3 linked regions of the Drosophila melanogaster genome follow. The protein of the gene in region 1 interacts with the protein of each later gene in a pairwise test. Each region holds a gene or a part of one and is shown on either strand. Other genes may lie near its edges. The genes, in order: CG16813, REPTOR-BP and Pif1A.

Region 1 (3,611 bases):
AAATAATTTAGTATATTAAGATTTATTTATCTGCGCAATTTTTAATCGCGGACAACAATATGATGATTTCATTGATGATTATTTAAATATAAAGGCGGATCTTATTGTCACCGTGTTTTAATTATTTTGCAAGCACTTTGTTCGTTCGCTATGCTGATTTGTTTATAAATTAAATAATTAAATCCAACTGAAATAAATTACAATTTTATTCCGTGTTTCCCACAATATGTCACTCGTGCCGAATCGATTCAATTCTCACTGTAGTCTGGCTATGTGAATCACTAGAATTACTTCACACCTTAATTAGCATTGCAAATTGCGCTTCCAAGAAATTAATTACATAAGATGTATTTAATGTTATATAATGGCAGAAAAACCAAGTGAGGTAACTCTTATGAGCTGATGCTTCCGGTCAGTTTTGGTCTAGAACAAATCCTCATGATGTTAAACGGCGGAAAAGAAATATCAGACTTCCAAATAAGATTCAATAAATAAGACCCCGAGTTAGATTTCAATCAATCAGAAACCAACTAAAAACCAATTATTACAAAATTCTATAAAAATTACAAGTTATTTCGATAACAATTAGTGTGTTTATTGTTTAGTCAACCAGATAAATAAATTAAACTTTAAAAGTAATCACAATCACTATTCAGCTTTTCTACAATAAGTTAGGGCGCATTGAGCAGCGCCCAGTCGTTGCACCATGTCCACCCTTCAAGGATGCTGGGTGGTGGTCTGTTGGCGCGGCATCATGTGCCTTGGCTGTGTGGGAGGCAGTGGCTCCGTGGAGGCCATCGCCTGCTGCAGGAAGCGCACATAGTAGAGACTCAGGCGGATCTGCTGCTGCAGATTGGCCTCGTGCTGAATGCGACTGGTCAGGTATTGTTGTTCGATGAGCTGCTGCTGTTGCTGCTGGGAGCGTCGATGGCGCAGGCTGGCCAAGGTGTTGCGATCCCGACGCAGTTGCTCCTGTGGACTGCGCTGGCGGCGCTTGTGGTGATTGCGCACCATGTTAGCGTGGTAGGTGCCATCCACTTGTTGTGGCGGCGGTGTCGATGTAGCCACAATCTTACGTGGCGGCTGTGGTTGCTCCTCTTCCGGAGACTCATCCATCCAGGGTCGGAAGAAGCGACGCTTAGGCTGCGGCTGCTCTGGAGTGCGTTGGCCCGGCTGTTCCATAATGAAGACCACATCGTCATCAGAGTCCGCATCCATGCTGCGCTTTCGCTTCAGAGCTCCAGTGAATTTCTTGTGGTTATAGTTATCCATTCTTGATTAAGAGTAGTGGTGTTCGCTTTGCTGTCTTCGAGACGACTGTGCTGCCCCTCCTCCTGGCCATCCGTTTTATGCAACATTAGGTAACTTGCAGAGCCTCCCACGAAAACGGAATGGCCAAATGGCAAAGATTTTCCCATCACGTACCTGGGGATCACGGTAAAACGGATCAGGTATTTCCCCAACGCATTTCATTCATTCCCTAAAAATGGGACCAAAACTAATCGGCTGCTGTTACCTGAATTGGGAATAGGGAGTTCCTAATCCGCAGGCTGGCAATCTTCTCAAAGGGTGTCATAAACCAGTTGTTGTCCTTGCCTCGTCTGTTTACGTGGCCGACGATTTTCGACGAAATTACCTGTTGTCGGGCCCGAAAAAGGGATCTCTGTGTAGAGGATCCCTGTGTAATCTCTAATCCTGGCGCTCAATTCGTCCAGGCTGTCTGCCGGCCGACCCGCTATTGTTTCGGCTTTCTTTGTGGCACCTGAATAGCAGACATGCTGCAGTTTTCAATGCCCGATCTCGATTCGAACAACAAGCGTTTATGACTTTCAGCTTGGACAGCTGAAGAAAAACCGTCTCGGAGTTTCTGAATCTCCCGGTACATGTACATACTAGCAAACCTAGAAAACCGGCAATTACTGAATGCTCCTCCCTCTGCTCCCTGGTTTCGTGTCTTTGGCATTATGTCGGATTTTTCCGTTTCATTCAATGGTCCATTGTCCATTGATTTATGCCGTCAGGGAACGAATGTATATGTGGTAGATGGTTCTCACATTTCAGTGTTCCTCCGCCTAAGCGGATTTATTTCAGGTGGGCTTGAGACGAGCCCTCCTCGAGGAATCCCAAAGTCAATAAGCAGGAGCGGAGTGGGAGTTGGTTATTTGTTCAGTTGAAGTATTACAGTGAAAGATTGTCGTATTGTTTGATTGTTTTCCTTTTATTATATTGATCAATTTTCATCTGTTCTGGAACGCAGAGAATCGATTGCATTGGGTCCTCCAGGGTAGGTGTTGTTCATTCCTTCAAGGGGAATGACCTTAAAAAGAGCAATAATATCCTACCAGGAAGTGCTTTCACCAATGATACAATTAAAGGTTGTCTTATATAATGTTGTATTAACAGGATGGTGGATGGGAAAATAGATTCCCATATATTTTTCTAAGGAGTAGATCTTTTCAGCGATGGGAAATTTTAGCCTTGAAAAGTTTGCTTTTTTCTGAGAAACAAGAAGGAATTATGTAGATGAAAATAAATAGGTAAAAATGTCTATTTAAAATATTATGATCCAGAATCGAGAATATATAACTTTGTATGATAGCAACGATTGTATCAACTTGCGTCCAGGATAACCTTGTATAAATATACCAAGGATTATTCACTTTGAATGGTTTAGAATATTAAATTAAGTCCAAAGATTACTTTTAAGAATTCACTTAAAAAGGGAATAGAAAAGTTAAGGATATATGTATATATTTTTAAATTCGTATAGTTGTAAAATAGTAAAAGCAGTAGTAAACGTATTTACAATAATGAAAATTCGAACTGCATTTAAATGTATTAAAAATTTTAAACAATAAATAAACTGCTTTAAGAAAAACCTATATGTGTGTGTGTTTACATATTTATGTACTTGTATATCATAAAACATTATCTTTACTAATGATATTTAAAGTCGGTTATAACCCTTATAGTATAATGCAGTATAGCAATATTCTATTGTTTATATCACAAGATTTTCACTTTGAAGGTTTAGTTTTGAAAAAGTATAAAATGAAAACCTTATAGTCTGATTTCATATAGCAATATTTTAATTTCTACATTACCAATCTTTCATGATCGCAAACCAACAAAAAATAATGTTTAATTAATGTATAATAATCATATAGTGAGTGACATATTATAAACAAAATTTCTTGCTTTTCCATAAATTATGACTCTACTATTATACAAAAAAGAAAAGAATCCAAGAAATCCCGTGAACAGACTAGGCCAGACGCGCACCCATCGATTCGGGAAAATCCCAATAAATTTCCATTCAATGACCATTGTGACTAAGCAGCGGCTGGCATTTTGCCGAAGGTACATAAAGGTATACCCGGATACCCTGGACGAGAACTTAATGAGGCAGATTAGCGGTAAGCGAGATAAGAATCCAGATTCCGAAGCGTCCAGACAACGTGGCCCAGCATCAAAGAGTGGCAAGCGCAGGCGCTGGCCAGATTTCGAGGTAGAAAACGCTTCTCGAGAAAGTCGGCAGGGAAATTTCCAAGAAAACCCGGACGGACTAGGCAGACACAATAGAAGGTGCGAGCAGCGCGCTGCAGCAAATG
Region 2 (3,224 bases), 3.0 Mb from region 1:
AGTCTTAGCGTATTTTTCTTACTAGTTTTCTACGTTATAACTTAAATTTTACGTGCTTGCAATTGTCATGTTAATGGGTATTCGTTAAATAAATAATGAAGAGACGACGACTATCAGTTTTTTGTTTTTTCTTTTTTTTTTATCATTCTGTTGTTGTTGTTGATGTGGGGGAATGAGGGAATCTGTTGGACGATCGAAAACGATCGAATGCTACGATTTTAAATGTTTGAGTCTGCGTTTTACGGTCGCGCTTAAGTTATTATTTATTAATCTTTACTCATAGGCAATCCTTAAGCAACTATGAGTGGTGTTGTCATTAGAATCGATGGTTTCCCACCGGCGAGCGGGACCTGAAGCGTCCGGCCGACTGACCACCAGTGCGTCCGTAGCTGGCGCTACTTCCGCTGCTGTAGCGGCTGCTGTCGCGTCCACCGCCGTAAACCTCGCGGCGATTGAAGCCGCTGCCGCCGCCCTCTCTGCCATTATAGCTGCTTGCACCTGATCGGCCGGAGCTATAGCCCCGCTCCGTGTGCCGGCTTGAGGATCCGCTGGATCCGCGCTGCCGGAAACCGCCTCCGCCGCTACCACCGCTTGTGATGCTGTGCCGGCCAAAGTCGCCGCGTCGTCCGCCCCTGTCCATGGGTCCGCCACGCCTACCCTGGCGTGGCCGCCCTTTTGAGATCTCCACGCGCAGCTGGGAGCCGAGCAGCTCGGATCCGTTCAGTATGTCGCACGCCTTTTCGGCGTCGTCGCGGTGCTCGAACTCGACGAACGCAAATCCCGGCGGATTGAAGGCTATCCACACCGAATTCAGCTTGCCATACTTTGTGAACTCCCCCTCCAGATCATCCTTTTTCACTTTGTCGGTCAGATTGCCGACATACACCCGTGTCCCGCGCTGATCACCCATGCTGGACATCTGGATTCACTGTTTCTGATTCGTTTTCGGAGTTATCCTGCAAATCGGATAGCTGCCTTGAAAAATAAATAATCAATAAGTTATCACCACCGGACAATTTAGCGTTTGTATCTATATCAACTTTTCGACCAGGGTGGTTAAACTCGTTGCAAAAATGCTAATTTTCAAAAATATCCTCGCATTTGGAACACTGAGAATGGACGTGTGTTGGGATGTATTTATAGTTTAACGGCCCCGTAAAAAGGGACTTCCCGCTGCTCTAGTGACTTGTATTTTTAATTATTTTTATACTTTGTGCTGGGAAATGTATCATGGTAATCTGAATAATACGTCAATTTAATTTATATAATTTTATAAATATTTGTATGATCTTTAGTAAAGTAAATAAAGTAAAACAATATATAAAATGTTTGTTAATATATAGCCGTGTACTTTTATATTTTCTTCAAACCCCAAATAATGAATAATTATATTGAACATTTATTAATTATTATTTAATTAATTTATAATTTAACTATTATCATAATTTAACTATTTAAATATAATGACTATTATCATTTTAAGTCATTAAAAGAAAATTTGTTACGATTTAAACTTTATTTATATTTTTGTTCTTAAATATAAAATACAAATAGTTCCCTTAATGTGTTCCATTCCATCGTTTCTGTTAAGATATATTTCGATTGGCACCTTTGTGTGTAGTGGTTTTGTTTATTGTTACCTTGAGTATTTACGAAAGACGCATAATAACAAAGAGTTGCAAAGTTGTTGTATTATTTGAGAGTTATAATGGCTGATATGGAGATACAGAGCAACAAAATGTCAATAACGGAGGAAACACAAGTGGTAATATATTATTAAATATAAAAGATGTGGTCTTTTTGTTTGAACATGATCTGAATTGTTCTAATGCGCAGTAAGGCCTTGCGTGTATGTATATACACATATATAAGCTATCTTCTGTGTATGCGTGTATATACATATGTGATTTTTATCATGCAAAAGCGCCTATTTTCAAAAAAGATTTTAAGTTTGACTTATCGGAACTAAATTTTTGCGAATAAGAATATTGAAAGCAAATTGTTTTTGGGATATCGTCAAATATTTACATTTTATATTATATTTATAAGCAGACGCGCAAGGAATGTGGAAAAAGGGGACGAAAACCAGGAAGAAAGACGTCTACTGAAAAATTGGACATGAAAGCCAAACTAGGTAAGAACAACATTAATTTCCACTTATAATACTTAAACAACGGTATTATTTTTAATAGTAACAAAGTTTCCAAACACTAATACATGTTATTTCCTATGGAATTTTATATAACGTGTATTTTCCCTTGCAGAACGCAGCAGACAAAGTGCCAGGGAATGCCGGGCGCGCAAGAAGCTGCGGTATCAGTACCTGGAGGAACTGGTGGCGGATCGGGAGAAGGCTGTAGTTGCTTTGCGTACGGAACTGGAGCGCGTCGGTATATAACTTATCATGCCACGTCCAACCAATTTATTTATTCTCATCTTTATTGCAGTTAATTCAATGGAATAACCAGTTGAGCGAAAGCAACACTCCAACCAACAATGACCAGTTACTTCAGGAACTCGGAATCCTCAAACAAGAATAACCTACATTCTTATTTTTAGCTTAAGAATATTACTTTTATAATAAATGTACGACGGTTACTATTTATATTATTACGAAAATACTGCAGAAATTTTTGTTATTTTCTATATTGCATTTTACAGCTTTTTATTGTTTCATTTGTATAGTGATTAAAGCCAAATTAAAGTATTTTTATGATAAATAAGAACTAATTAAATATTTGTTATTTAAGGGTGTTAAACCAATTGGTACACTGGAACAGTGATATATGGAACGATTATTCTAAGGGTTCGATAACTTAGTCGTGAAAAGCCTATCAATGGTTTCTCCCATCTCTCCATCGGCATAAAAATACAGAATAGTCTAAGGAACTGAATAAATGTAAACATTATTTATAAACAGCCATTAATAGTTATTCAATTGACAAACTTTTGTGCTGTAAGCAGCGCTTACATATGTGCCAAAATATTCTCACAACCAACAGAATCTCCAACAAGATATTATGGCTTTAAATGGATTTTTAGAATTCTTCCAAAAGGGCAAGGTGTGTTTGGTCAATAACAAAATCATATGCAGTTGATGTATTTTTAAACTAATTTTCAGACCTTTAGGCCAAAAAAGCCATTTGCCTCCGGAACCATTAGGTATTCCTTACATAAGCAAGCCCAGGCCAGTTTGCAATCCGGGATTAATCTGCGGCAAGTGG
Region 3 (4,929 bases), on another chromosome or scaffold:
ATAAAAGCCCTACTCTTATCTACTTATTACAAATTATGCCTTGAAAAATTACACAGTATACAGAATTCCGAGTCTTTGCCCGCATGGAGGTTGTTTCTTCAGAATCGCAAAGATTCCCCTTTGTCTGTCAGCATTTCAATGGCTTCTGTTTAGCCGTAGACTCTTCAACGCTTTTCTTCACTGGGTTGAACTAATCAACAAGTTTCCCCCATTATTGATTTCAGCGGAAAAGCTTTTTCCTTCATTTCGCCACATCGGGTCGGGCCACACATATGAATGAAAAACGAAACATATAGGCACCCTGGGACTGGGAAATAGTTTACAACGCCAATTGCGTTGGGCTTACCAAATAAACTGGTCCGGAATGACTTTTCTTAATGACGTCATGTGGCGCGCCTTTTGGAATAGAACAGAATATGTACGTACATTCATATGTACATGTGTTTTTTTTGTTTTGTGAGGTTCCCCACTGGGGCGCTTTACACGCAATAAAACCGCTTTTCATTACTTTTTTTGTTCTACAGAAACAGAATTCTTTGCACTGCTCCCACATCCGCCCCAAAGATTATAACAAAGCATCTATATATATACTGTATGAGGTGCACACACGAGTAGGCCCACAGTTCATATGTTCATAGAATGCTCTCCGAGATTTCTGGCCGATCATCTTTATCAAGGCCACGATCTATATACACATGTAGAGCGACAGATTTGTGTACTTAGCAACCTTCTGGCGCCTAATTGGAATTTGATTTGTTTTTCCAGCTCGATACACTAGGTGTTAATAGGGAGGGATCTTAAGTGAGTGGTGCCCAAGTTTATTACTTTCTGGTTATCAACATAAATTATAAGTAATTATTAGTAAACTTTATGATATTGACTCTTGGACGTATTTCAAAACCGAACTGTTAGTGGAAAAACTACCCTAAAAGAGGTGTTCGTTCCAAATGTATGTAATATTTATTTTGTGGCTTTTCTATAAACTGAAGGACTGGGGCTAATGATGGCTCTCATGTTGCATTTCATTTAATTAAATTTAAAACCGCCCCCAGTCCACTCGATAATAAAGTGTTTTTGGGGTCGACATACACGCCATGGTGACATCACAGCCTCGGTGTGACCGGCTTGGTTGGGATTGGTTTTATACGAGCAAAGCCACCCACTCGATTGCCATCCACATCCACAGCCATCCACATGGGCAGATGAAAGTCTCTTTTTTGCTCTTTAAGTATGTATATTTTCAGTCATATATCAATTTGAAAATATTGCCAAACGATGAGTCGGTCAGCCGTCGAGTGTACAGTCTGCGGCTCTTTCGGCTGATTCACCGAAGATCACGTATACGCACCATTAGCTCTGAAATCCTTGGGCGTCGTAGACCAACAGTTGGTGTGCCTCAAACTTCTGTATATGTTTATTCACTCACTCACTCACTCACTAAGTCGACCGACGATGTTGTAATGTAAACAGTTTATTTACTGCCTGCTTGCCACTGTTTCTTGCAGTGTAATGACGTCAATACGTTAATTTTCAATCAACTTTTTTCGCGCACAGACCAAGTAGAATATCGTCGGTATGTGGAGCACTTCTTCGACAATTGTTAAGCAAAGTATGATATATTTTTGTTCAAATATATTCACACAGTTCGTACAGGAAGTTCGAAATTATATCAATTAAGTTACACAAGTTCGTCGGAATAGAAGTGAGTTATGTTCGGTTCGTTTGGGGAGTATCCTAATTAGTTGCAATCAATTTGAATTGTAAATTAAAAGAAGTGTTCTATACTAGGTAAATTTCGTTGCTCGGCGATAGCAGAGATCTTTCGTTTCGGCCGGACACCGATTGACTAACTCGGCCTCTCGAGCTTTCGCAAGCTCTTTCACATTTGCCTCCATTTCCATTTAATTAAAAGGAGCTTTGCCATTTATTCATGCACTTCTTGGGGTTATGGGGTGGCAAAGCTCGGGTCTGTGTGCGTGCCCCGAAGAATGGCCGACGTGAAGCCGGAAGAGCCCATCTATTGAAAGCCGAAGATGTTTTCCTCCCGGTTCCCGACTTCATAACAAAAAAAAACCAGTCGCGTGTTTATTAATAACCAAAATATGCACACAACCCGCCACGAAATTGGTCAAAATAACAAACAGTGAAATAAAAGATATCGGAACTTCAGGTTGATTGGATATTAATTCGGTATAAGTTTGATAAAGTAATGATAAAATTCAGTTAAATTGTTATATCTGTGTAAACATTGTTATAAGTACTTCCGCATGATTAAGGCGCGTTGCTCAAACATATATCAGCACAAAGCATTTGTGCTAGTTTAAGTTTAAGAGCAATCTGAAGACGTGACATTAAAGCTGTTGAAACGTGCATCTATTATTATATGTTTAGACCAGAAGTAAATAAATTTGGTAATAAACATACTTGCAAAACATTTAAGTTGCTCAACTTTTTTATAGTCTTTTTATGGCAATTAAAATTTCATACTTTTAATTTCGATTTAAATGCCAAACGTATTGCGTATGAATATCTTTATGTCTATAATCCCCAACAGCTGAAGAATCTTCACAAATCACATACAAATTTGACAATCGCCTTAACGACGCGATGAATGATGGACACAATTAGAACACATTCCGATTCCAGTCAGTCAACACAGGGGAAATCTAAATAAAAGCACAAAAGGGGAACAAACTTTGCACTTTGATTTGAGTGCCTTATCGTGTGGGAGCCCCACTTCACTTTTCTTTTTCTTACTCACTATTTGCATTTTTCATAGTCGGTTCAGCATCCTGATTTGTTTCATAATCACTCGGCAATTGTCTAGTATCCGGTTAGTATCCATTGGCATCCCTTGTGGTTCGATGTCGTCGTTAAGAGGAGTCTTGGGCAACTAAAATTCCAATTCCACATGACCGAATTAGATTTAGAATGCTTTCTTTCATTTAAACCTATTTGCGGTTGAATGTTCTGGCGTTTTGGCCTTTCAAATGACTCTTCTATTTTTCATTTAATTGCTGCTCGGTGCACAACTCACTCAAGTTGAGCGGTAGGAACAAACTGAAGATGCGGCGCACTTTCTAAAATGGAATAAGCGACATGCGTGCGTGCATCGCCAAATTTATATAAATAGAAGGAATCACAAATCTATATTTGAAGTTGGGAGCAATTTCAAAAAACCGCTCGCCGGTCAAGAGTGACGTCATGGAGCCATCGATAACTTTTTCGATAACAACTACCAGCTGCATATCATATTAGTTTAAAATGTTCATCAAAAAGTGTGGAAACTAGCTTTGTACCATAAAGTTAAAAAATCGCAAGATAGAAATAAATAGATAGTTTTTTATGAGTTAGGATTTCAAATTTCATTGTAAAGTGCGACTAAGTCCCCAAACGTTCACACTGGCTGCAAGCATCGATTAAATACAAAATAACAACGATTAATCGATTGGCCCATTACTCATCGCGGAAAACGTGAACGAAAAGCAAGTTGCCGCCTGTCTGCTAGGAACTTTATTGTTTTAAACTGTAATACGTGCTAAAGGCCAACCCCATCACATAAATATGGTAAGTCCGGCTGGAAATAATCCGAGGCTAACCAAGTGAATCCCAATCATGGACTCGTCCGCGAGCGGCATGAGATTGTAAACATAACCTGCAAAGAAGCTTCTCGCAAGCCGACGACATCTGCTGACTAATTGGAGACTTTTACTATATATTCGCCTTATATCCGTATGATCCGCAGCAACCGCAAATCGTGCTCCTCAAAGAAGGCACTGACTCGTCGCAGGGCAAGCCGCAACTGGTGTCCAACATCAATGCCTGCCAGTCGATCGTGGACGCAGTGCGGACCACTCTGGGTCCCCGCGGCATGGACAAGCTGATTGTGGATGCCCACGGCAAGGCGACGATTTCCAACGATGGAGCCACCATCATGAAGCTGCTGGAGATCATCCACCCGGCGGCCAAGACCCTGGTGGACATTGCCAAGTCACAAGACGCCGAGGTAAGTGATTGGCACCCCTGAGACGCACGTGACACTGCTAAAGCTTTGATTCGACTTCTCCTTCAGGTGGGTGACGGCACCACGTCCGTGGTTCTGCTGGCCGGCGAGTTCCTTAAGCAGGTGAAACCCTTCGTGGAGGAGGGAGTGCACCCACGAGTCATCATTAAGGCCATCCGCAAGGCCCTGCAGCTCTGCATGGAAAAGATCAACGAAATGGCCGTCCAAATTGTCGAACAGTCCAAGGACCAGCAGCGTGCTCTCCTTGAGAAGTGCGCAGCCACTGCCATGTCCTCCAAGTTGATTCACCAGCAGAAGGACTTCTTCTCCCGCATTGTAGTCGATGCTGTGCTCTCCCTGGATGAGCTGCTGCCCCTCAACATGATTGGAATTAAGAAGGTGACCGGTGGCTCGCTGGAGGAGTCACAGCTAGTGTCGGGTGTGGCCTTCAAGAAGACCTTTTCCTATGCCGGCTTTGAAATGGCCCCCAAATCCTATGACAACTGCAAAATTGCCCTGCTCAACATCGAATTGGAGCTTAAGGCTGAGCGCGATAACGCCGAGATCCGCGTAGACAACGTCAAGGAGTACCAAAAGGTGGTCGACGCCGAGTGGCAGATCCTCTACAACAAGCTGGCTAAGATCCACGAGTCCGGCGCCAATGTTGTCCTCTCCAAGCTGCCCATCGGTGATGTGGCCACACAGTATTTCGCCGACCGCGACATATTCTGCGCCGGCCGCGTTCCCGAAGAAGATCTTAAGCGCACCATGAAGGCTTGCGGTGGAGCCGTAATGACGACGGCCAACGACATTAAGCCCAATGTACTCGGCCTGTGCGAACATTTCGAGGAGCGCCAAGTGGGCGGCGAACGTTTCAACCTCTTCCAAGGTAAGAATCTTATTCGTATACTTAATTGAAGGACTCG

What was found.
Region 2: the proteins of CG16813 (region 1) and REPTOR-BP interact in a two-hybrid assay, tested with the Drosophila melanogaster proteins (2 studies listed by BioGRID, with this or other methods).
Region 3: the proteins of CG16813 (region 1) and Pif1A come close enough for resonance energy transfer, tested with the Drosophila melanogaster proteins (one study listed by BioGRID).

Annotation. Positions count from the first base shown.
Region 1 is NT_033779.5:13,225,514-13,229,124, reverse strand, and holds CG16813 (uncharacterized protein), read right to left. Parts: upstream 1,597-3,611; 5' UTR 1,517-1,596; intron 1,426-1,516; 5' UTR 1,273-1,425; coding exon 718-1,272; 3' UTR 604-717; downstream 1-603.
Region 2 is NT_033779.5:10,262,500-10,265,723, forward strand, and holds REPTOR-BP (REPTOR-binding partner), read left to right. Parts: upstream 1-1,625; 5' UTR 1,626-1,708; coding exon 1,709-1,765; intron 1,766-2,049; coding exon 2,050-2,134; intron 2,135-2,264; coding exon 2,265-2,386; coding exon of another isoform or gene 2,387-2,390; intron 2,391-2,447; coding exon 2,448-2,540; 3' UTR 2,541-2,612; downstream 2,613-3,224. Other genes in the region: Rsf1 (repressor splicing factor 1), read right to left, coding at 317-919; Mob3 (MOB kinase activator 3), read left to right, coding at 3,021-3,062, 3,122-3,224. UniProt on the Drosophila melanogaster protein: Transcriptional regulator that acts in the TORC1 signaling pathway to regulate energy homeostasis and promote survival during nutrient deprivation.
Region 3 is NT_033777.3:8,798,114-8,803,042, forward strand, and holds the start of Pif1A (PFTAIRE-interacting factor 1A), read right to left. Parts: upstream 3,064-4,929; 5' UTR 2,762-3,063; intron 2,667-2,761; 5' UTR 2,581-2,666; intron 1,832-2,580; exon of another isoform or gene 1,349-1,831; intron 1-1,348. Other genes in the region: CCT7 (chaperonin containing TCP1 subunit 7), read left to right, coding at 3,565-3,567, 3,746-4,006, 4,073-4,892.